Oryctolagus cuniculus: one gene and its partners. The protein of the gene in region 4 interacts with the protein of the main gene of each other region in a pairwise test. Links are inferred from orthologs where the notes say so. Each region holds a gene or a part of one and is shown on either strand. Other genes may lie near its edges. The genes, in order: LRIF1, ARPC5L, TSNAX, GADD45G and AFAP1L1.

What was found.
Region 1: the proteins of GADD45G (region 4) and LRIF1 interact in binary tests that used the Homo sapiens proteins (3 or more experiments, as listed by UniProt). The link is inferred for Oryctolagus cuniculus from reciprocal best matches to the Homo sapiens genes GADD45G and LRIF1.
Region 2: the proteins of GADD45G (region 4) and ARPC5L interact in binary tests that used the Homo sapiens proteins (3 or more experiments, as listed by UniProt). The link is inferred for Oryctolagus cuniculus from reciprocal best matches to the Homo sapiens genes GADD45G and ARPC5L.
Region 3: the proteins of GADD45G (region 4) and TSNAX interact in binary tests that used the Homo sapiens proteins (3 or more experiments, as listed by UniProt). The two-hybrid records come from large-scale screens. The link is inferred for Oryctolagus cuniculus from reciprocal best matches to the Homo sapiens genes GADD45G and TSNAX.
Region 5: the proteins of GADD45G (region 4) and AFAP1L1 interact in binary tests that used the Homo sapiens proteins (3 or more experiments, as listed by UniProt). The two-hybrid records come from large-scale screens. The link is inferred for Oryctolagus cuniculus from reciprocal best matches to the Homo sapiens genes GADD45G and AFAP1L1.

Annotation. Positions count from the first base shown.
Region 1 is NC_091438.1:59,372,525-59,377,497, forward strand, and holds the start of LRIF1 (ligand-dependent nuclear receptor-interacting factor 1), read left to right. Parts: upstream 1-1,838; 5' UTR 1,839-2,237; coding exon 2,238-2,305; intron 2,306-4,973. UniProt on the Homo sapiens protein: Together with SMCHD1, involved in chromosome X inactivation in females by promoting the compaction of heterochromatin.
Region 2 is NC_091432.1:228,724,523-228,728,202, forward strand, and holds the end of ARPC5L (actin-related protein 2/3 complex subunit 5-like protein), read left to right. Parts: intron 1-812; coding exon 813-885; intron 886-1,420; coding exon 1,421-1,597; intron 1,598-1,780; exon of another isoform or gene 1,781-1,875; intron 1,876-2,424; coding exon 2,425-2,487; 3' UTR 2,488-2,950; downstream 2,951-3,680. UniProt on the Homo sapiens protein: May function as component of the Arp2/3 complex which is involved in regulation of actin polymerization and together with an activating nucleation-promoting factor (NPF) mediates the formation of branched actin networks.
Region 3 is NC_091444.1:51,050,191-51,055,203, forward strand, and holds the start of TSNAX (translin-associated protein X), read left to right. Parts: upstream 1-1,659; 5' UTR 1,660-1,834; coding exon 1,835-1,850; exon of another isoform or gene 1,851-2,296; coding exon 2,297-2,401; exon of another isoform or gene 2,402-5,013.
Region 4 is NC_091432.1:138,326,522-138,330,569, forward strand, and holds GADD45G (growth arrest and DNA damage-inducible protein GADD45 gamma), read left to right. Parts: upstream 1-1,515; 5' UTR 1,516-1,633; coding exon 1,634-1,686; intron 1,687-2,003; coding exon 2,004-2,105; intron 2,106-2,219; coding exon 2,220-2,433; intron 2,434-2,522; coding exon 2,523-2,633; 3' UTR 2,634-3,106; downstream 3,107-4,048. UniProt on the Homo sapiens protein: Involved in the regulation of growth and apoptosis. Mediates activation of stress-responsive MTK1/MEKK4 MAPKKK.
Region 5 is NC_091437.1:36,694,237-36,698,489, forward strand, and holds part of AFAP1L1 (actin filament-associated protein 1-like 1), read left to right. Parts: intron 1-126; coding exon 127-220; intron 221-436; coding exon 437-586; intron 587-1,656; coding exon 1,657-1,868; intron 1,869-3,803; coding exon 3,804-3,949; intron 3,950-4,253. UniProt on the Homo sapiens protein: May be involved in podosome and invadosome formation.

The DNA of each region.
Region 1 (4,973 bases), on a different chromosome or scaffold from region 4:
TACAGGTAGGTTTAAGTGTAAAAGTGATCATATAAATAACATAAAGTGCCTGGTAATAAAAATAGAATTAAAAAGGAAGGAAAGTCCAATATGGGAAGCAGTCCACACAGCAGACTCCTAGAATGACATTCACCATAAATATCACTCTGACATCAGAACCAGCCCTTAAGGCTTTCTGGTCTGGCAGAAAGGCCTGTGAGAGCATTTCAGGGATGAAAAGCCATGACTCTGTGGCAAAAATATCCTACACGGAGGATCTCTGTGGAAAGCAAGGGTCATGTACTCAAGAATGTACTCTTCTCTAAAGGGAGAACATCCACTTTGCTTATGCCCATGTCCAAATACCAATGGAGTCACAAAAGGCTTCCATAGCCTTGGTAGCCCATGGCAGGAACCTCGGGTGATCACTGACGTCATTAATGAGTGTTAATTATTCAAGGAACAACAGAAGTCACTGTGCACTTACACCCCATGTAGTACCTCCATCCTTAATGAGTTGTACTATGAGAATCAACTGCAAATTTTGTTCCCAAACTGTACTCATATGTCATGTGTGTGTGTGGGTGCAAACTGTTGAAATCTGTGCTTAACATGGAGTTGGTCCTCTGTATATAAAATCAAACTAAAAATAAGTGTTTCAGGCATGGAAAGCCAAGACAGTGTGGCAAAAAAAAAAAAAAAAATGTCTTACATGAAGGACCTCAGTGGGTGAGACTCTATTGGAAAGAAGTGGACATCACACTTTTCAATGAAGGAAGGAGAGAACTTCCACTCTGCTTATGGCTTTGTCTAAATACTGACAGAGTTTGTGGATTCAAAAGGCTTCCATAGCCTAGGCAGCTCAAGAGCATCAGGTGATCACTGCCGTCACACTTAAGAATGTTAATTGTTAACAACAGGAGTCACTGTGCACTAACTCCCCATGCATGACTCTATCCTCAAAGAGCTATATGATGTCTAAGTTCCCACAAAGGATGCTTCATTCTTGGGTACTTCTTTAAAGGTAATTAAGTTTCAAAAAAAAAAAAAGTGAAATTAACTTCAAGATGCAATGACTTTGAATAGCCCTTGTCTCCTCTGGTGAGGAACAGTATTTTTTTGTTTTCCCTGCAAAGTGTGGAACTCTTTGAATAGAGTTGATCTTCTGTGTATAAAGTTAATTGAAGATGGATTTTAGTGGAGAATGGGGCTGGGAATAGGAGAGGGAGGAAGAGAAGGAGTGGGCGTGTGGGTTGGGGGAATGGGTATGCTGGGAGGAAACACTATATTCCTAAAGTTCTATTTATGAAATGTACGGTTTGTATTCCTTAAATAAAAGGTTTCTTTGGATGGGGGAGACAAAAAGAGATACTTTTGAAAATGTTTTCCCTATACATAAAAACAAAGTAGCTAAAAAAGTTTACCTAGAGAACGAAACTTTTAGAGAATTCGGGAATTAAGTGTATGACACTAAGTTTTGACTGAGACAAGAATGTTGGGGTAGAAGCAAGGGTTAACAGACTTCGAAGCAAAGCTTCAAAAAGAGGAACAAGGGACATTCAGAGACTGGCGATAATGTATCACTATCAACAAGCATACGACGACTGCAAAACAGCCCGCTGCCGTTCCTTAAGGCTGTGGTGGAGCAGGAACATTACACCAGCGGCGAACACAACGGCAGAAAATTTACTACTGACCCCGGAAGCATTTTATTTCGCGTAGGTGTTTGAAGAACTTTCTTTCGCGATTCGTTCCTTGATCCGGAAGAAGAGAGCAATATCACTTGCGATTGGGTCGTCCTAGGAGGGCGGAGCTCCCGCGAGCCAGTCACGTTGGCGACCGGACGTGACGACAGCGGAAGGCTCTCTCCGCTCGAAGCTCGGTGGGCGGGGTCGGCAGAGCTAAGCGGGCGGCAGTCTTCTCCCCTGAGTCAGCCTTGCTGGGGGCGGCGCCATGAGGGGCACGCCTCTCGCGCCCGCTCCGGCTGGCTCGGGAGCGCTGTCAGCGGCTCGGGGGGGCGGAGCCTAGGGCAGACTCGCAGCGCCGAGCGCGCGCCGTCACCGCCGGGAGTCTTCCGGCTTCTGGGTGGATTCGCATCCTCTCAAGAGGCTGTGGTCGCCCTCCGTTTCTCGTGGAACCCTCTCTGCCAGGCAACTTCTTGAGCCCAACATTCTCGCTCTAGTTCTCGCCCTTCCGAGAACCTCGGCCCCACACGCCCCCATTTCCCTGGATGCGCTGCCCCCTCCCACCCCTCAAAAATGTCCAATAATCTCCGGAGGGTCGTGCTCAAACCCGCTGAGGAGAATTCAGGCAACGCCTCACATTGGTAAGTACCGCGTCCGAAACCGCCGCACGCCCGCCGCGTCTCCTAGCAGGACGTGAGGCGGCCTCCGTTTCCTGACGCTCCGCGGTGGCGAGAGGAGTCGGGCCCCCAGGGTGCGCCACCCCGGCGGGACGCCCGGCGTTAGAGTCCTCGGCGCGGGCGCCTCTCGGAAGCGCAAAACCTCCTCCGAGTCTGACGCAGTCGCAGGACTCCGGCGTCTCAAGTTTCATAGGCGGACCGAGTAGATCTCCACGGGAGCGGAAAACCAACATGGCCGGCCGACGCCGCCTTTTTTTTTTTTTTTTTTTTTTTCCTCCAAATGACCAAAACCTTCTGGAAGATTCTCGTGCGTAGGCAGAAAAACACGCAGGAATCGGCGCGACTTAGTACAAGCCTGGTGGCGCTGGACCTTCAAAGAAAGTAGCCACGTTTTTCTAGCGCTAGTGAGCAAAGACGTTAAGATTGAAGAGAAATGTTCTAGAAAAGGGGAAGTGAATATTTTAAAATTTCTAGTAGCCTTCTATCGAAGAGAGAAGAGTGGAAACATAAATTCTTGTGTGGAGGTAGCCCTGTCGAACAGCAGGTGTAATGAGAGTGCCAGCTCATTGGAAGGCTCCATAGAGGAACTTGTGTTTGACGGAAGGCGATCCCAGTATTACGTAGAAAGACAACTTTTCTTACAAATTTATAAAATCGGTTATCAGTACCTGGAGAATTTTTCCAACAGCTTGAATTAATCAAGATGAAGTAAAGTATTAGCGGAGGCAGAGTATTTTGTATTCTTAATGGTCAGTGGACGTTTTTATAGGTGTTGAGAGAACTGTTAATGGGTCTGCAGAAAGAAATGAATAGAACATGGAAATTCAAGATGCGAAACTTAGGAGATTTGTGTTTGAAGAAAATCAGGCTACTCAAGTTAACCCTAGTTTTGCCAGGTATTTGTGAGGGGAAAAAATTGCCAGTCTAAATAATAGCGCCTAAAGATATTTTTAAGGATTAAAAGAATGAATACGTATAAAGCACTTCGTGCGGAAAAAGGACTATTTCAGTGTTAGCTATTAATACTGTAAGTGCACAATTTTAGTTCCGTACGCATTTTAGCTCAGGAAGTAGATTTTCTTTAATTACCAATAGATAGAAAACCTGATTGCCTAAAGAAGTAATTGGCGATTCTTCAGAAGAATGCACGGTGTTATAAAAGGAAAGGATCACTAATAGCAGTGTGCTAAAACAATACTGAAGAACCCACAAGAGAGAACCATTGAATTGCAAATCGTGCAAAAAGCCAGCTTTTGTGTTCATGTTTTTGGTTTTTGTATGTTTTTTTTTTTTTTTTTTTATTGTGATGAAGTTTGGGGGAAGAGGCAGAGATAGTGCACTGCATAAAAACGAAGGGTAGAGTTTTGGGGGTCGTTTAATTTTTCCTTTTTTTAAAATATTGTGATGAAGTTTTGGGGGAAGAGGCAAAGATAGTGCGATGTATAAAAACGAAGGGTAGGATTTTTGGGGGGAGTTTAATTTTTCCTACCTTGTTTTACTCTGCGTATTTGATGACATGTAACAATGTGATTCACAGGTGATTAGTTTTAGGATTGTGTTCTTTCCCACTGTCATAAATAAGATGAGCTATAATGAAGGTATTTATGGGTACTTTAACTCTTACACAGTTGGTGGTGCGTTTGGTTATTTTGGGATACTTTAAAAATGACTAATTGAATTATGTTTTGGTTACATTCATAGTCCCTTCAAGTTCATTAAGTCATTTATTCATGCATTGTTTTCATGATCTATAACTCATTGATTCATGCGTTGTAACTCATTGATTCTTGCGTTGTTGGTTATCTTTAAGGGCATTTATTTCTTTAAATCACTGAAGTTTTACTTCATGTATTTGGAATATTTACCAGATACCTTTCTGAAGCTGCTTCACGTTTTCGTTATTGGGTGCATCTTTGGGTCTGATCAGTTTTGTAAATAACAACCTGTATGACCTCCTAATATAGTTTTGTAAATAGTGTGATTAAGGGCATCTCTTTTATTTTATTGAAAACTTTTTTTCTTATTTTGCTTAATACTTTTGATGGTACTAAATGATTTACTTTCTTTATAACTGAAAGTGACTAATATATAGAATGTTTATTATTTGAAGTATCAGATTCATCAGCATAAAATCTAATCCTCAAAAAAATGAAAAATCTGGAAGATAATTGTGGTAGTATGCATTTGGTTTATTTAGAATTACATTGAGTGCTTTCTGTGTACATGATAGACTGCTATATAGGGAGATTGAAGAGTGGGATATGGGATATTCCCATGACAGACTTTATGATAGTGGGTTAGGGGTTAAGCTGCTACTTGTGATGCCGGCATCCCATATCGGAGTGCAGTTTGAGTCCCAGCTGCTCTGCTTCCAGAACAGCTTCCTACTAACGTGCTTGGGAAAGCAGCAGAAGATGGCCCAAGTACTTGGGACCCTGCAAGTTGTGTGGGAGACCATGATGAAATTTCTGGTTGCTGACTTTGGCTTGGCCCAGACCTGGCTGTTGAGGCCATTTGGGAGTGAACCAGCGGATTAAAGATCTCTGTCTCTTTCTCTTTCTTGCTGTGCCTTTCAAATAAATCAATCGATCTTTTTTAAAATTAGGTCAAGCCTTACAATGAGGAGTGATGT
Region 2 (3,680 bases), about 90 Mb from region 4:
CAGGTTAGAGAAGAGGGGCAGAGCTCATCAGCGCTGCTGGCCTAGGGACCCTGGTTAGGCTGGGGGGGGACTGCAGAGCTGAAGTGCAGGGGCTGGGTCGCCGCCCAGTCTGAAGGCAGCGGGGCGCAGGAGGCCCAGCCCTGTCTGGGGGCTCCGTTCTCAGGGGGCCTCGCCGCACGGCGCAGCAGACACCTGGTCGGGCCTGGTGCTATTTCTGAAGCTTGTGGCTGAAGCCAGTGTTTCACATGATGTAACTCGGTTTAAAATAGGTGTCGCCTTTGGGGACTTAACCCAGATTGTCATTTTCTTTTGCATGCTGGGTATTGGCAAAGAATGTGGTATCAGGATTGCCACTGAGGTTTGGGCGGGGCAGAGTGGCTCCTCTGTGGGCCGAGGGTTCTCACAGACTGGCAGTCGGACCTCTCTGGCCACGGTAGCTCCTGGAAGAGAGAAGCGTTAGTGTCTCTTCATTCCTTTAGTAGTGGAATTGATACAAAGCATCCGTGAAGAATTAGGAGACTTCCGGTTGTGCCTTCCTGCTTCCCTTTGTAGAGAGATGAGAGAGGCCTGTGAGTGCCCGGTGGGGGCAGGTGGGGCGCTGGGCGGGGCCCCTGGGACCTCACTGCAGTTGGCCCTTAGGGGCAGCTGCTTTGTGGGGAGGCAGAGAGGCGCTGCCTGGGGCTCAGGCAGCTCCAGGCTGTGAAGCAGCTGGGCCTCGGGATCCTCGTGAAGCGCCCCGGAGCGGTTCGGATTGGGCCCACGGTGCGCGCGGACACGCTTGGCCTGGCTGACCTTAACGGATGCTGGTGCACAGGGGACATGCTTCGGGCGTTCCACGCCGCCTTGCGGAACTCTCCGGTCAACACCAAGAACCAGGCTGTGAAGGTAAAGGGGCGGGGCAGGGCCCCGTCAGTGTGTGCAGCTCCCGAGGGCCTCCCTCCGGGGACTTGGCCCTGTTCTGCTTCTGTGGGCTCTGAATGCACAGGGAATTTACGGCTTCTCAGAGTCCTGTTCACACGGCCTGGAAAGAGGACAGATTACACTGCTGGCTGCGGCCTCCTCGATGCCGGGACGTGGGTCTTGACGGGGGCCGCAGCGAGTCAGCCTGTGTTCTCGAAGGGGCACCTCCTCCTCCACCGTCCGATCCTGTGGGGCCTCGCGCCTTGCTGGCGCCTGCCCAGGAAAGCACCTCCTCCATGGGAAGTGGAGGAACTCAGTTACTCGGTCATCGACAGGCAGTACTGCGTACTCTGAGCCAGTGGGAGAATCTTAGCCCACTTTTTTTAAAAAGCTGTCTGATCCTAGATCGAGTTAGAAACTGGGCAGTGCTTCTGGCGAGCTCCTCCCACTTGTGCCTACAGTGGGGCAAGGATGGGCCCGGCTGTGGCTCTGGGCCTCACGCGCGCTCTTTCCTCTGCAGGAGCGAGCCCAGGGCGTGGTGCTGAAGGTGCTCACTAACTTCAAAAGCAGCGAAATTGAGCAGGCGGTGCAGTCTCTGGACAGAAACGGCATCGACTTGTTAATGAAGTACATTTATAAAGGGTTTGAGAAGCCCACGGAAAACAGCAGTGCAGTGCTGCTTCAGTGGCATGAAAAGGTACGTGGACATGCCGGCCCCGTGCCCAGCCCCTGCCTCACCCCGGGCTTCAGCAGGCGCCCTGCGAGAGCCGGGGCCAAGCCTCCACTTGGGACCCTTGGTCCCCTCCCCCTCCCAGGGAAGCACCTGGTCGGGCTCTGCTGTCTCTGGTACACTCACTTTATAGCTGCTGCTTTGTGCCAGGCAGGACAGGGGGCCCTTGCTGTGTGCCATGGGTGCAGGTGACCAGGCGTGGTGTGGAGTGGCAGGGATGCTTCCTGGCTGGCTGGCGCGTCATGGTACTTTCTTTGCATTGGTGGAGTCAACTGCTGGGTGAGTGGGGTGGTCCTAGGATGAAGGCTGAGCCTCCTCGCCAGCTTGGAGGGCTTCTGGCCCCGGCCTCAGCAGGCCAGAGCGTGCAGTGGGCAGCAAACACGACAGTCATTTACCATGGCCTCGTCCGCCTGCCGCTCTTCACCTGGGTGCCTTCCGTCAGGCCTGCGTGCCCACTGCCCTGCCCCGCATGCCCCCTTGACAGGGGTCAGGCGCTGGGGGCGGGGCGAGCAGTCCCCCTGCGCGGTGTGGAGGCCACTCCAGTGGGCCGGTGTGCGTTCCTGTGCCTCGGGCAGCGCTGGCAGCCTGGAAGCGAGGGACTTGCTGAGAGAGGAACTGTGGCTCTGCCGGGCGTGCACGGTGCCTGGGCCCGGGCCACTCCTGCTGCCGGAGGCGGTGGTCACGTCGCAGGAGTCCTTTCTCCGAGGGTCGGCACATGCGGTCAGGCTGGGGGGCGTGGGCCCGTCGTGGCCAGCCAGGTCTCACCTGACACATTTCCTTTTCCTGCTCCGCAGGCCTTAGCAGTAGGAGGACTAGGCTCCATTATTAGAGTTCTTACAGCAAGAAAGACTGTTTAAAAGTCAAAGGACTTGTTACCTCGAGAACTTTGGATGCCCAGGCCGGTGCAGAAGGGACTGACAATGGACCACCTTCCTAGGAGCGCCCGACTCGACTCTTCCAGGACTCGTGGCCGCTGAAGTGTATTTTATTTTCAAGGTGGAGGGAGAAATCGTCTGTTTCCCAAATCCTCTGCAGGACCTGATCGTCTCTTTTGCCTTCGTCTACACAGTACTGCAGAACGGGCACTGGGACCGGACAGAGAGGCTGGCCAGCACTGGTCAGGTGGAGCTGTGCGTGCTGCTGGCTGAGGCTGGGGGAGGGATGGTTTGGGCAGGTGCAGACCCAAGGGCTGTGGTGAAAGGGACAGCTTGTGGGAAAACCCGAGTTTGTACAGACCCCTGACCTCCCGGGAAGGTGGGCTCTCGGGTTCGTTGTAAAGTGCCTGCTGCATCAATAAAGCTCTTGGCTTCTTAGTATACACATCGCGGTGTCTTGTCTCTGAAAGGTAGGGTGGGATGGGATGGGAACGAGAGAGTTTGGCTGTTCCAGGAACTCTGGACGGGCTCGAGAGTGTCCCTGCTTGGCCGCTGCGAGCCTCGGCTGAGAGGTTTGCTCAGTAACTGTTGTTCCTCACTCCTTTGACCTGGGTGTCACTCTGGAGCTCACTTAAGCGAATGCAGAGCCAGGCATTTGATGATCAGTCAGGTCTTCAGTCTGTGACTACACTTGGTCTGCGCTGAGGGTGGGCCTGAACACCCCTGGTTCCCAGCTCCGGCTCTGCTGGGTGCAGCAGCAGCGTGAAGCATCAGCAGGTTTTCTTTTCTTTAAGTATTTATTTGAGAGGGAGAAAGAAGCTGAATGAGAGCTTCCATTTGCTGCTTCACTCCCAAGTCCTGCCGTGGGCCCAAGCTCAATGCAGGCCCCCACGGGGGTGGCCAGGACTCAACAACTGTTCAGCATCGCTTCCGCCTCCCAGGGTGTGCACAGCAGGAAGCCAGAACTGGTAGCGGAGCTGGGATTCAAACCCAGGCACTATGGGATCTACTGTGGGATGTGGGGTCCCAAGCTCCTGCCCGGACAAGGGTTCTTAAAAGAACTAAAAGCCGGGCACAGGGAACAGCCAGTGGGTGCGAAGGAGGTGATGTAACCACTCACAGCAAGCCCTCTTTTCCAGCTCACGGGAGAGCTCTGCGCTGTCAGAGGTAGGGAC
Region 3 (5,013 bases), on a different chromosome or scaffold from region 4:
CTAGGATGAAAAGCCCTTTGCGTCACTGCTGATGGCTTGATGCGTTCACAATCCTTAAGTATCAATTTGATGTGTCTTCCCAATCATTCATTTGGAAAATTTCTTCTATGGAGGCATGTTATTTATTACTAGCACTCTGTGTTCTGAGTAATTTTTTTAAAATCTATTTTTCACTGTTTTCATGTATTCCTAATTTTTCCTTAATTTGCTTTTGTATGCCTTCCAATAAACTGATCATGTCAGGAACTATCTTTGCCTTACTTGGTCTGTCATTTGAATATAGGATAGGACCAGAACCTCTTGGAAAATTTATAATCCTTGAGGATGAAAATGTCACCAGGTAGTGGCCCAAAGCCCCCAGGAACCATCTTTATCCACAAGGAATTTGGCTTATCAATTCATATATTCAGAGTTGTCAAGGAAAGATGGGTGGTGGTTACTCTCTTGTTTTAGAGTTTGAGTACTCTTTATAGTGATCCCCTAGAGCAGAAAATCTTCCTAGGACACTCTTGTCATGGCCTTCAAGCTACTGCCAGTCTAGCCAGGTTATTTCGTTTACTGCCCCTTCAGCCCTACAGAGGAAATTTATACAATACAGGCCTACAATTTGGAGACTATTTGAAGAAAGCATAATAATACCTACAGTATCTTCCCTACTGGGCCTAGGCCACCCAACTCACTAAGCCTTGGCTTGAGTTTATCACTAAAAAGTGATGAACTGCCACTTGGTTGCCCATCTTGATGATGCGAACATCATTGTTCAACAAACATTGAAAGAGGCTTCCAAGCGGTCAGGGCACGGTACCAAGAATGAGCACGCTGGACGATTAGAGGGTCACGAGGCCTAGTTACGATATCGTACTACAAGCCCATAATAAAAGGCTCACAACTCAGTGGTGCATATCTGTTCTTACTACTAACCCTTCTCTTAAAGAGCTACGGTGCGAGAAGTATCCAAGCTCACCTTCTGAGCCCTAAGGTGAACTCCCACCCCTGTGATACAGATAAAGAAACCGAGACTAACCAAGGCTTCCTCAAGGTCACACAACCAGTCGGGGGCCAGGACAACTTTAAGCTCAAGCAGTCTAGCGCCTGAGGGCCACGAAAAATTTAAGGAAGCTACGAGAGGAAGAAAAAGATGGAAGGAGGACCGATAGGCGGGCTTTGCTCCCGTCAGAGATAACACTAGCAACACACCCACTGATCCATCCGCATATTTCACTACTTAACAGAGAGTTTAGTATCTAGCTCTGCAGGTTCCGCCTCGCTCCACAGAACTCCGTACCGGCTCGGGCGAGCTGCCGCCCCGCCGCCTTCCTCACCAGCACCGCGGGCAGTGCCGCAGGGCCGCCCCCCTCGAGCGAACTACAACTCCCACAGTGCACCGCGCGCCAAGTTGGGCCCACGCTCAGCGCTGGGGAGGGTTTCGAAGGTGCCTTGAGAAAACAATCACGAACATTTTCCGCCGCTGGCCCACCTGCACACAGATCTCACCTCCCGGAGTGTGCGTCCGTGAGATGCGTAGACTCGCTTCTGCTTTCAGGCACAGCATGAGGCAGGTGCGACATCTCGCGGACGCGAGGTCCCCGGACCGTAGGAGGGGCGGGGCCGAAGGCGAGCGTGCAAACCGGAAGTACGCGAGGGGCGAAGGGCGCGGCCCGGGAGGTTACGGGCGCGCGCTTCCGGCCGGTGCGTCGACGTCGGTCTGGCTGCGTAGGGTGGCCCTGCAAGCTCCTTTCCTGGGCTGGGTGGGCCGCCGGGGCCCCGCACCTTGCGCAATCGGCTCCTCCAAGGCCTTCAAGTCTTCGCTGGTCTTATCGTAGGCCGTGACGACATGAGCAACAAAGAAGGTGGCGTCCTCAGCAGAACGGGGTGTAGTGTATCCCCAGGGGTGGTTCTCCAGCCTGTGCGAGCTCACCCTTCTCTCGCGGTTGAAGGATGTCCTCTTCCTAGCACGCTCGGGGAAGCCGGGGGCGGGGGGATTGGAAAGCGGCTCTTCTGCTTCTGTCCTTGGCCGGGTTGGCCGCTGTGTGTACGCCTCTCGGTTTCTTAAGTCTTCGAGCAGTAATTTTCGCCTTGTTTGATGGTTGCTGCACCTGTGCCAGATCTAGGCCCTCTGTGGTGAAAGCCTGGATGGTTGGGGGGGGGGGGGGGCGGGCTGTTTTGCGTCAGTCTGCTGAGAAAAGCCGTTGTGGGTATCTGGTTTTAAAGGAAGAAAGGGGGTTGCCTGTGTTGTTTCGCAGACTCTTGGTGATGGAAGATCCCTATCCACTTTTTTTCTTCTTTTCTGCATAAGGATCAGGAGGGTTCAGGAAAAGGAAGCACGACAATTTCCCACATAACCAGAGAAGAGAAGGGAAGGATGTTAACTCTTCTTCACCTGTGATGTTGGCCTTCAAATGTAAGTTCTCTGTAATGTCAGTTGGTGATGGGGAGAGAACTAAAGGCTGTAACAGAAATTATTCTTGCCATATTGTGCACGAGAAAACAACCCCTAAAAATTTAAGGTGTGTAGAGGTGACATTTAATTTTTTCCAGAGGTTTTGTGAGAGTGCCAGTTCTGAAAAGTCTGAATTTCAAAGGCCTCGGCATTTATGCCCCATTAGTGTAAACAACCACGTTAGTAAACATGTGAACATTACCTCAGTAACGGTGAACGTCAGTTAATAGTAGCAATGCCACATACTTGAAAGTTGCCGTGATCTCATATCTTCTCATTTAGGTGCACTTGCCCTTTTCTCAACATACTGGCTGTCAGTTTGCTGCTGATTGCAAAACAAAAAATCCTCATTCCACTGTCCTCTCTCCACTTACCTAGGCCTTACAGTCTCGTGGTTCATGAATCTAGGAGGGGCTTATCTGGCTCCTTCTGACTTCATTTGCAGTCATCTGAAATTGTGATTGGAGATGGAGGATCCACAGCTCTTGTCGGCCTTCTTACCTCCCCTCACTGCTCTTTCCCTGGGGGCCTCTCCATGGTGCTGCCCCAGTGGCTTCATCTATGATGTCTATCTTACAGAGCAAGGAGGAAACCACAATCCCTTTGTCTTTTTTTTCCTAAGTTCCATGCATTACCTTTTTTTTTTTTTTTTTTTGAGAGAGAGAGATTTTATTTATTTATTTGAGATAGAGAGGAGAGACAAAGAGAAACAGGACTTCCATCCGCTGGTTCACTCCCAAATAGCCACAATGGCCAGAGCTAAGCTGATCCAAAGCCAAGAGCCAGGAGCTTCTTCCAGGTCTCCCACGTGAGTGCAGAGACCCAAGGACTTGGGCCATCTTCCACTGCTTTCCCAGGCCATAGCAGAGAGCTGGATTGGAAGAGGAGCAGCGGGACTTGAACCAGTGCCCATATGGTTTGCTGGTGCCCTAGTCTGAGGCTTAGCCCACAGTGCTGCCCCAACCCCCTTTATGTCTTAATCTCAGGCAGTTTTAGCTCTCACTTTTGCCTTAATGTATTTGTTACAGCAAAGGCATTTTAAAATTGATGCCTTATTTTTAAGGGGAAGAGTATTGGGTACCACCTTTTGAAGTAGAGTGCCAAATAATTTATAGGCCTATTTTAAAACCACAGTAATCTTCAGAGCTCTTTTTTTTTTTTTTAAAAAAGATTTTATTTATTTATTTGAGAGGTAGAGTTACAGACAGTGAGAGGGAGAGAGACAGAGAAAGGTCTTCCTTCTGTTGGTTCACTCCCCAAATGGCTGCTACAGCTGGAGCTGCGCCAATCTGAAGCCAGGAACTTCTTCCTGGTATCCCATGCGGGTGCAGGGGCCCAAGCACTTGGGACATCTTCCACTGCTTTCCTAGGCACATTAGCAGGGAGCTGGATGGGAAGAGCAGCAGCCGGGACTAGAACGGGTGCCCATTTGGGATGCCAGTGCTGCAGGCAGAGGATTAACCTACTGCACCACAGCACCGGCCCCCAGCGCTTGCTACAGCTAGCTGTAATTGAGTCAAGAGCATATTGACAGAGCCACATACTGAGTGAAAAAACTAGTGGGTTGGATATTCCCAGCCTTTCACACTTCCTTGACACGGTGGTTGTTTTCATGCATATTTATCTTATGTTTCTGATCCCTTTAGCCTGGAATTGCTTCTGATTTGATGTCCCCACTACCCATCTAGTGAATTCTTCTTTTTTTCCCCCCAAGATCTAACTTAGGTTATTAGCTTTGAAGCCTTTCTGATTTTTCTCCCAAGCAGCCTTGGTGATAGACTCACATTCATTCATATACATCCACCTGGTAATGAAATATTTAAGTATCTGCTATGTTCTAGCCTGTGTTAATGGAGAACAAGAAGAGTGTGGTTCTTTCCTAAACCCTTTACACATATTAATTATGGTTGTATTTTATTTAATTTGTTTATGTCCCTGTGTCTTGTACTGGAATGAGCTTTTTGGCGACAAGGAATTCTGTCTTTTGTAATCATAGTATCTGACTCTGCTCATTAAAGTATTTATAATAAATAGTGAAACAGGTTCATGTTCATTATCTTTAACTATAAGGCAAAATCCTGGCTAATTATTACCTGGGTGTTGAAGAACCAGATATGTTGACATCTTTGTCAGCTACTAAGTTAGTTAATAGCTTAATTAAATCCTCTTTTTAAAAATTTGTGTAGAATACATTTTTGCCTCCTCATAGGCCAGGCAGCTTGCTGAACCTTTAGAGTAAAAATGCTTGAGAAAATAAGTAAGTATTAAGAAAGTTAAGGGTTTTTTCCTTCTCCTTTTCTTTTCTTTTCTTTTTTTTTTTAAGTTTATTTGAAGGACAGAGTTAGAGAGGACATCTGTTTCACTCCCCAAATGGATGTGATGGCTGGAGCTGAGCCAGGCTGGAGCCAGGAGCCAGGAGCTTTTTCCTGGTCTCTCACGTGTGTACAAGGGCCCAAATACTTGGGCCATTCTCCACTGCTTTCCAAGGAGCATTATTAGTAGGGAGCTGGATTGAAAGTGGAGCAGCCAGGACTCCAACGCTCATGTTGGCATCACAGGCAGCAGTTTCACTT
Region 4 (4,048 bases):
CCCAGGGAGCCGGCGGCTGCAGCGCGCCTCCGCCGGGGAACGCCAGCGCCTCGCCCGGCCCTAGGCTGCCAAGCGTGCCCGGCTCCAGGGCGCCGGCAGCAAGGCTCGGCGTTCCTAAGTCCGGGAGCCCGCAGTACCGCCGGCCTGAAAAAGAGCCCGAAGGCAAAGCACGGAGCCACCAGGCTGTTTTCCCCAGGGACCCCGCCCAGCGCCCCGGCCGGAAAGGAGGAGCCCGGGTGTGCGTCCCGGGGCGCGCAGCACCGCCAGCCGCAGACCTGCGAGTCCCATAGGGCCCATAGCTGCAAGCTGCAGCCTGCAACGCTCTCCCAAGAGCACTTCCGGTCTCCCTATCCCCTCGTTGGAACCCAGGCTTGTTACAGACGCACGGTCAAGTCCTCCCGGCTGTTTCAACCCAGCCAGAGCCACACGGGCTCTGAACTCAGTCAGTTCTCCCCAGGAGGCCCCCTTCGCCCCCAGTCTCCAAGCCCCACCCGGGTGCGTGCGGCACGCTTTGTTCTGTCTCCACTGCGGCGCAGCTTGGCCGCGGTCAGGGGCGGGTGCGTGTGTGGCCCGCGGTTCTGTGTGTCCTGTAGGTGGCGCCCCGGGAGGGGGAATTCCCAAGCCGCGCTCCCCAAACCCGAGCCAGAGCCGCGAGGTCTGCGTGCAGCAGCCCCGCGGCCTTTCCAGCTCGCGCGAGGGGCTCGGCACGCGGCCCAGGCGCCGGCGGGGTGGGATTACGCCCAGGGGCCGGCGCAGGGGGCGCGCCACGGGCTGCGGCAGGTGGACAGTGCTGCTATGAAGAGAAAGCCCCGATTGTCCCCTCTACAAACCGCCACACGCCAGACCCCTGCTATTGTGCGCCTTCCATAGAAATGCAAAGGAGCCGCGTGCGCCGGCCGCAAGCTGCTCGCGCCCCCGCCGGCGCCCCGCCGCGCAGGGCCACGGGCGGGGAGGCGGCCTGCGGGTGCGACCCCGAAGGTCCTGGAGCAGGCTTGGCCGGCGTGGCCGGCCGCGCTGCGGGCTGCAGAGTCAGCGGCGGGAGCCTGTGCCTTTTGCAACCCCCCTCCCCCCCAAAAGTGGCGCTGCGTGTTTTTGCTTTAATTTCCAGGGTCAATACAACAGCCTCACAAACTTCAAAATAAAAGAAAAAAATAGGTAGCAATAAGAATAAATGCAAAGAAAATTCTTTTAGAATCTTCAAAGGTGCATTTCACAAATTGCAGCATCGTATTCGCGTTAGCACTTTTTTTTTTTTTAACTTTTTCCTTTTAAGGACTTAAAAAAAAAAGGAGGCGAGATGAAATCTGCAGGCTCCAGTCTGCCTGGTAACACTCCGACAAAAGCGGCAGATTTGAGGCATTGTCATCCCCCGCACCCCTCCCCACGTGGCCTTCTGGCACGAGCCGCCGGCCCGCCGCTCATTTGCATCAGAAAGCGGGAGCCGGCCAATGGGCACGCAGCTTCGCGCCAGCTGGCGGCGCCGCGCCCGCCGGCCTATATAAGGGCTCGCCGCGCCGCCCGGGCGCAGTCGCTGGCTGTGGGCGCGCCGGGCGGGCGGGAGCGGGTGCGCGGCTCAGCTGCCAGTCCTACGCGCGTACGGCTCTTGGATAACTTGCTGCTCGGCCACCGCACCATGACTCTGGAAGAAGTCCGCGGCCAGGACACGGTTCCGGAAAGCACAGCCAGGTGGGTCTCCCCGTGCGCGACTTGTCTGCTGGGCTGGGAGCCGAGCACCGTCGGTGCCGATGGGCCCGGGGCGCAGGGGTGGGTGGCAGGCGCCTTGCCGGGTGGCGAGCCTCCGGGGGATGTAGGCTCCGGATTGGAGAGCTTCAGGAGGATCGGGAAGCTGGGGTGCAGGAAGCTTGCCGGAGCAGGGGCCTTGGGGTGTGGGCGCCTTGGTTCAGGCTGGGGAGCCGGGGGTGCACACTCGGGACCGGGGAGGAGACGGGGTACGGATTGCGGCGCCTCGGCTGGCTCCACTGACGGTGCTGGCTCGTCCGCAGGATGCAGGGCGCCGGGAAAGCGCTGCACGAGCTGCTGCTGTCGGCGCAGCGCCAGGGCTGTCTCACCGCCGGCGTCTACGAGTCCGCCAAAGTCCTGAACGTGTGAGTATAGACGCGGCCCGGGCGGGGGCGACCGGCGGCGGCGGCGGAGGCGGCGGCGGCGGCGGGGAGCCACCGGCCCGCGGGGCTCTGACCTCGGGAACTCCTCCTGCGCAGGGACCCCGACAATGTGACCTTCTGCGTGCTGGCCGCCGACGAGGAGGACGAGGGCGACATCGCGCTGCAGATCCACTTCACGCTGATCCAGGCGTTCTGCTGCGAGAACGCCATCGATATCGTGCGCGTGGGCGACGTGCAGCGGCTGGCCGCGATCGTGGGTGCCGGCGAGGAGGCGGGCGCGCCGGGCGACCTGCACTGCATTCTCATCTCGGTGAGTGTCGCCCCGCTCCCCCAGCGCCTCCCCTCACCCCGGCGCGGTCGGCCAGGCTGGCTGACGCTTGCGCTCTCCCCTCTCCTTAGAACCCCAATGAGGACGCGTGGAAAGACCCTGCCTTGGAGAAACTCAGCCTGTTCTGCGAGGAGAGCCGCAGCGTCAACGACTGGGTGCCCAGCATAACCCTCCCCGAGTGACAGCCCGGCGGGGACCTTGGTCTGATCGACGTGGTGACGTCCCGGGGCGCCTAGCGCGCGGCTGGCTGTGGAGGGGCCCTCGGAGGGTGCCAGAGCACGGCGTGGAGACTGGCAGGCGGGGCGTCTGGCGGGCGCGGAGGCGCGGCCCCCCCAGCGGGGGCCCGGCGGCGGCTGTGGCGGCGGCGGCGGCGGGGCAGGCTGGCTGGAGCCGAGGACGCTGCGCACCGCGAGTGTCCGGAGCGGCTGCTCGCCCAGGAAGGCCGAGGCGGGGACGTTGGCCGCAGGGCCGGGAAGGACACAGACCGGCCGGGCCAGCGTGACTCAGCAGGAGGAGAGCGCGGGCGAGACGGCCTGGACTTGGTCGGGCTGCAGGAGCCTGTGGGACTTAGCAGACTGCGCTGCCTTCTCAGAAACGGATCCGGGCAATGCTTCGTCTTCCGGAGGATGTCTTACAATAAACCCCTTGAAACAGACTCCTGTGCTTTTACTGAGGGTGGGGACCCTTGCTCGGGGAGGTGGCCAGCTGGAACTGCTTGGCGCGGATGGCACCTGTTCCCGTCTTCCTGTCGGGCGAGAATGACAGGCTCCTGGTGCTGGCCGCGGGGGGAGGGGAGGCTGCTGGGTGTGAGGGCACAGCCTGAGCGAGGCTCCCAGGTCTCTGCTTTTGGACAGATTATAGAACTTGCAAGCGAGGGGCAGACTTGAGAACAGGCATCCCTGCAGCAGCTCAGGGCTCGCCATCCTATCGGATAACAGTGACCTCCACCTCCCTCCCCTCCCCCACCCCGGACAGCTGCTTATCTGAACAGCTTGCAGGAGGCAGGCAGCCCCTTCGTGCACAATGGCATTGCCTGCTACAGCCCCAGCCCTTTGTGGTCCCAGAGCGCGATGGCAGGCAGGATGTTTCTCCTATGAAATGCTGGGACACAAAGCAGTGTTACAAAGGTATTAATATCAACCGTGACACTGGTGAGTGCTGAAGGATGAGTCAGTCTCCCATCACGGCTGGGCTAGAACTTCCAGGATCCCAGCAGAAATCGGAAGGCGGCGTGTGTGTGTGTGTGTGTGTGTGTGTGTGTGTGTGTATAAATAGGGGTGAGCAATTCCGATCTGCCGACTGCATCAGCTGTCGGCTATTTGGAAAGTTCTCAGCCCACATCAGCGCTGGGAGGATCTGGGAGGATTGCGGATAGAATGAGCCTTGAGGGTTTTGGAGGCAGGTAGCTAGAAGAGAACGTTCTGAGTCTGTTGGTCTGCTTTTATTAGAGCAGCTGCGTCTTGATTGTACTCCCCGTGCCCTGCAATTTGCCTTCTGCAGGAGAGGTGCACGTGGGGCGTGCATGGTCTTAGCTAGGTTGCCAGGCAGCCCGACCTGAGAACATCGTGCTGTTTCTAAGGTGGCCGCGGGGCTGAGG
Region 5 (4,253 bases), on a different chromosome or scaffold from region 4:
TGATTGCAGCTGACAACTACTTGTTAGCTAATTATCTTGTGCTGGGGGAGTTGGGGGATACTGAACCAATAAAGGGGTCTTCATCAGTGTGTCCTCTAATATGAGGCTGTCTGTGTCCTACTCCAGAGGCTGTCCCAAGAGAAGCAGACCTCAGACTCGGATAGCTTGAGCACAGGTGACAACTGTTCCACCCTTGGCCGTCGGGAGGCATGTGAACATGGTAGGAATCTACGGGCTCAGGATGGGGGATACCAGAGCTGGGAGGGGACACAATGGCAAAGCAGATGCTGACCAGTTTGGAGACCTGGGTAAGATGATCCAGCCTGGCATACTTGGAGCCACAGACCAGTCACCACGGGGGCAACAGGGAAGTCCAGGGTTGGGTGAAAGTGGGATCTGGGGCTCCCCACTTTCCTGATGCATCTCTGTACAACAGGCAAAGGAAAGAAGAGTAGCCTGGCGGAGCTGAAGGGCTCCATGAGCAGGGCTGCAGGCCGCAAGATCACCCGCATCATCAGCTTCTCCAAGAAGAAGGCCCTGGCTGATGACCCGCAAACACCCTCTGCCGAGGAGGTTCCATGCTGTGGTGGGTGTGGGCCATGGGGAGGAGGGAGGTCTGGCCTAGTGGACATGGGGTCTTGAGGCTGAAGCCAGGAGCCCTGCCATGCCTCATCCACCTCACACCCATGGCAGAAGAGAGAATCCCAGGCCAATGGATGGCTTAACACTAATTTGTCAACAATCAACATGTCAATCACCATCCTGGCCCCATTACCTCTCCCACAATGCTCAGCAAAAGGAATAGCCAGCTGATGCCCATATTCCTGTGCTCCTGTGACCTTACCCCAAATCCCTGTCTATCTCTGCACTTCGCTGTCTCAGTTTCCCCCACTGTAATAAGAGGAAAGTACAGACCTTTACCTTATTTCCCAGCCGATAACATGCCAGGCCTACAATTTACATCCAGTCTTAGATAGAAATGTCTGGATATAAGTAGGTAAGTGCATTCAGTTTGAGTTAAAAGTGGCTTGGAGGTGGGACACATTTTATTAAATGAAGGATTCCATATACTGGAATTCAGTAGAAAGTCATACCAGTGTTTTAAATAGGCAGTAATATTCTACTGGCCCTGAAAAAAAATTATAAAAACCTGTAGCCTCAAATAAAAATTTTGTCATCAGGGAATAATGGCATGTCAGTGTAAAAAGATTAAAGCCTAAAACAATAAGAAGAAATTCTAATTCATCACCTGCTGTACTGTGCTTATGCCTTGCTCTGTCTTCTAATGGTTTCCCTCAGCTAGATGTTCCTGTTCCCACACGCTGCCACCAGGTGTCACCATCTGCCATTATTGTCCAGCTTTTAGTGACAGTTTTATTTTAAGGTGAGGAAAGGCAGGAAGGACAATGTGTTGGTAGTTCCTGCCCTTGCCGCTGACCTTCATGTGGCCCCAAGACCATGCAGGTGTATATGGACAGGGATATCACTGCCCATATCCCAGCTACTTAGTGGACACTCATCACGAGATACCCAAGATCACCAACCGGAAAGGCCCAGATGCCTTCTCTCCAGCTGCAGGCTGGGCATGTCCTGGTGTTCTCTCCCATGTGTGAACCATGCACCTGGCCTGCATCACACCACCCTCTCCCCTGCCAGGCTACCTGAACGTGCTGGTGAGCCAGGGCTGGAAGGAACGCTGGTGCCGCCTCCAGCACGGCACACTGTATTTCCACAAGGACCGCAACGACCTGCGCACTCATGTGAATGCCATCGCCCTCTGCGGCTGCGAGGTGGCCCCAGGCTTTGGGCCCAGACACCCCTTTGCCTTCAGGATCCTGCGCAACCGACAGGAGGTGGCCATCTTGGAGGTGAGAGGAGGGTCCAGGACGCTCTTGGTAATGGACTCTGGCCTGGGTGTCTCTCTTTTTTTTTTTTTTTTTTTTTTTGGAGGGGATACTTGCTATTAACACGGCAGGGACTAGGGGGAAAGAAAGGCAAGCCTAGGGGCTGTTGAGTGACCTGGCAGGGTAGCCAGATAACATCCAGGACACCCAAATCAGTCTGAATTTCAAGTATACAATGAATGATGTTTTTTACACAAATATACCCATGCAAGATTTGGGACATACCTAAACTCAAAGATTATTCATTGTCGACCTGAAATTCAAACTTAACAGAGCATTCTGCATTTGTTATTAACTCAAACTGCCAGCCCTAAAATCAAAGCTTGTTTATGCCCCTGATCTTAAAATGAAAGGCACCTGGTCTAATCTAACTGGGACCTGACCCCAGGAACATCCCCCCAGGGTTCAGCCACCTCTGCTGAACCACTCTGCTGAACCACTCCCCTTGAAGGTAGTATGCCTGTCCCATCAAACAACTCAGACTGTGTAGCAAGATTTCCCCATACTGAGCTAAAGTCTAAAAGCTCCATCAAAGCAATCATTATGCATACTTTTTCAAGGGGTTGGCATACTTTCATTTTTCTAGAACCCTGCCAGATATCATGTGCACAAACACATAATGTAGGCTCTTAACAAACACTTATAGAACAAATGAGGGAATGAAATGTGGCTTCACGTCTGTCATTCATTATCCCTCCTACCTTCTCCGAAATCATGCAGGAGGCATTCAAAGTCTCTTCCACATGGCAGTCCTCTGGCTATTGAGAGTCAACAGTGGAGAACAACTTAACCACCTTCTCACATTACAGATAGGGAAACTCAGGCCAGGGCAGACAAGTGCTTTGTCTCTTCCTAGACCTTGAACCCAGCCTCCTGCTCCCATTGCCTTTGCCCACAACCCAACCATTGCTTCCTCTGGAACTTGCTTCCATTTTTTGCTAGTTTGAGTCTCTTATTCTCTCTTAATTTACACTTCAAGCTTTCTAGAAAAAAATGTAGCTCCTTTATTCAGTTTTGGCATTTGAGTGTTAAATTAACTTTACAATAATAGTCTCTAAATGAGAATTTACATTAAGTATGAGTTGTTTTTGGACACTTTGCTGTATACAATGCTATAAATATTGTCAATTATAATACAAAGGAAAATTAATGGCATTGTATGAGAAATAGTCTAATAAAAATACTTTTTTAGAAAAAGTCAGGGTATTTGTTTTTATTACTATAAGGAAATTCCTGAGGCAACTGATTTATAAAGACAAAAGGTTTTCTTTGGCTTACAGTTCTGGAGGTTAGCAGTTCAAAATCAGGTGGTCCCACTGGCTCCATCACTGGTGGTAGCTTTCCTGCTGGCAGACTCCTGTACAGGGAATCACATGGTAAGAGACAGGGAACATGCACCTGTCTGTATCTATGTGATCTCTTATAAAACCACCAGGATTCAGTCATGGACACTCCACCCAATGACTTAATCCAACCCAGTCACTCTGCAAAGCCCTAGCTCCCAACAGCAAAATTACATTTCATTTCCATCCTCTTAGAACCATAAACAGGAGTTTGGGGACCAAACTCCCAAGTTTTGGGGGAACAAATAGTCAAGCCATAGTTCAGGTAACATCTGAATACAAACAAGTGGTTCAGAGGACCTGGGCTACAGAGTGAAGTCATGTTATCTTAGAGAGATAGTCCAGGAAGGCCTCTCTGAAGACATGGCAGATACCTAGAGCGAAGAGGGCAGCCTCTTGGATTTCTGAGTGTGTATTCTCATCTCATTCCTCTGTGATCTGTAAGTATTGCATGTGCAGTAGATACTTAGAAATATTTGTGGCTTTGGCTGGAATAAGCAGGGAGCCAGATGCACTGGCAGTGCCAAAATGGACTCCCCCTGTGCTTCTTCTGCAGGCAAACTGTTCAGAGGACATGGGTCGCTGGCTGGGGCTGCTGCTGGTAGAGATGGGCTCCAAAGTCACACCTGAGGCACTGCACTATGACTACGTGGATGTAGAGACCTTAACCAGCATCGTCAGTGCTGGGCGCAACTCCTTCCTGTAAGAGACCCCTGGGCTACCACACCTGGCCAGGGCCCCTCGTGTCTCTGCTCTGTCTCAGAGGCTCAGAGTCCATCCTGGGGAACTGGGAGGAAGGGGAGGAAGAGCTGAGGAGGACGGTGCTTCCTTGGGAAGCTAGAAAGATGCCTTCCCCTTCCAGCAAGGAGGAGCTCGCTATAGGAGAGAACCGGGGATCAACGGCAGCTGGGGATGGAATAAGCAAAGGTGGAGGAGTCCTGGAGCAGTGGCCTGGGCTCTGCCCACCTGCCCAGGACTGTAGGCTCCAGGACTGTAGGCTCTGACA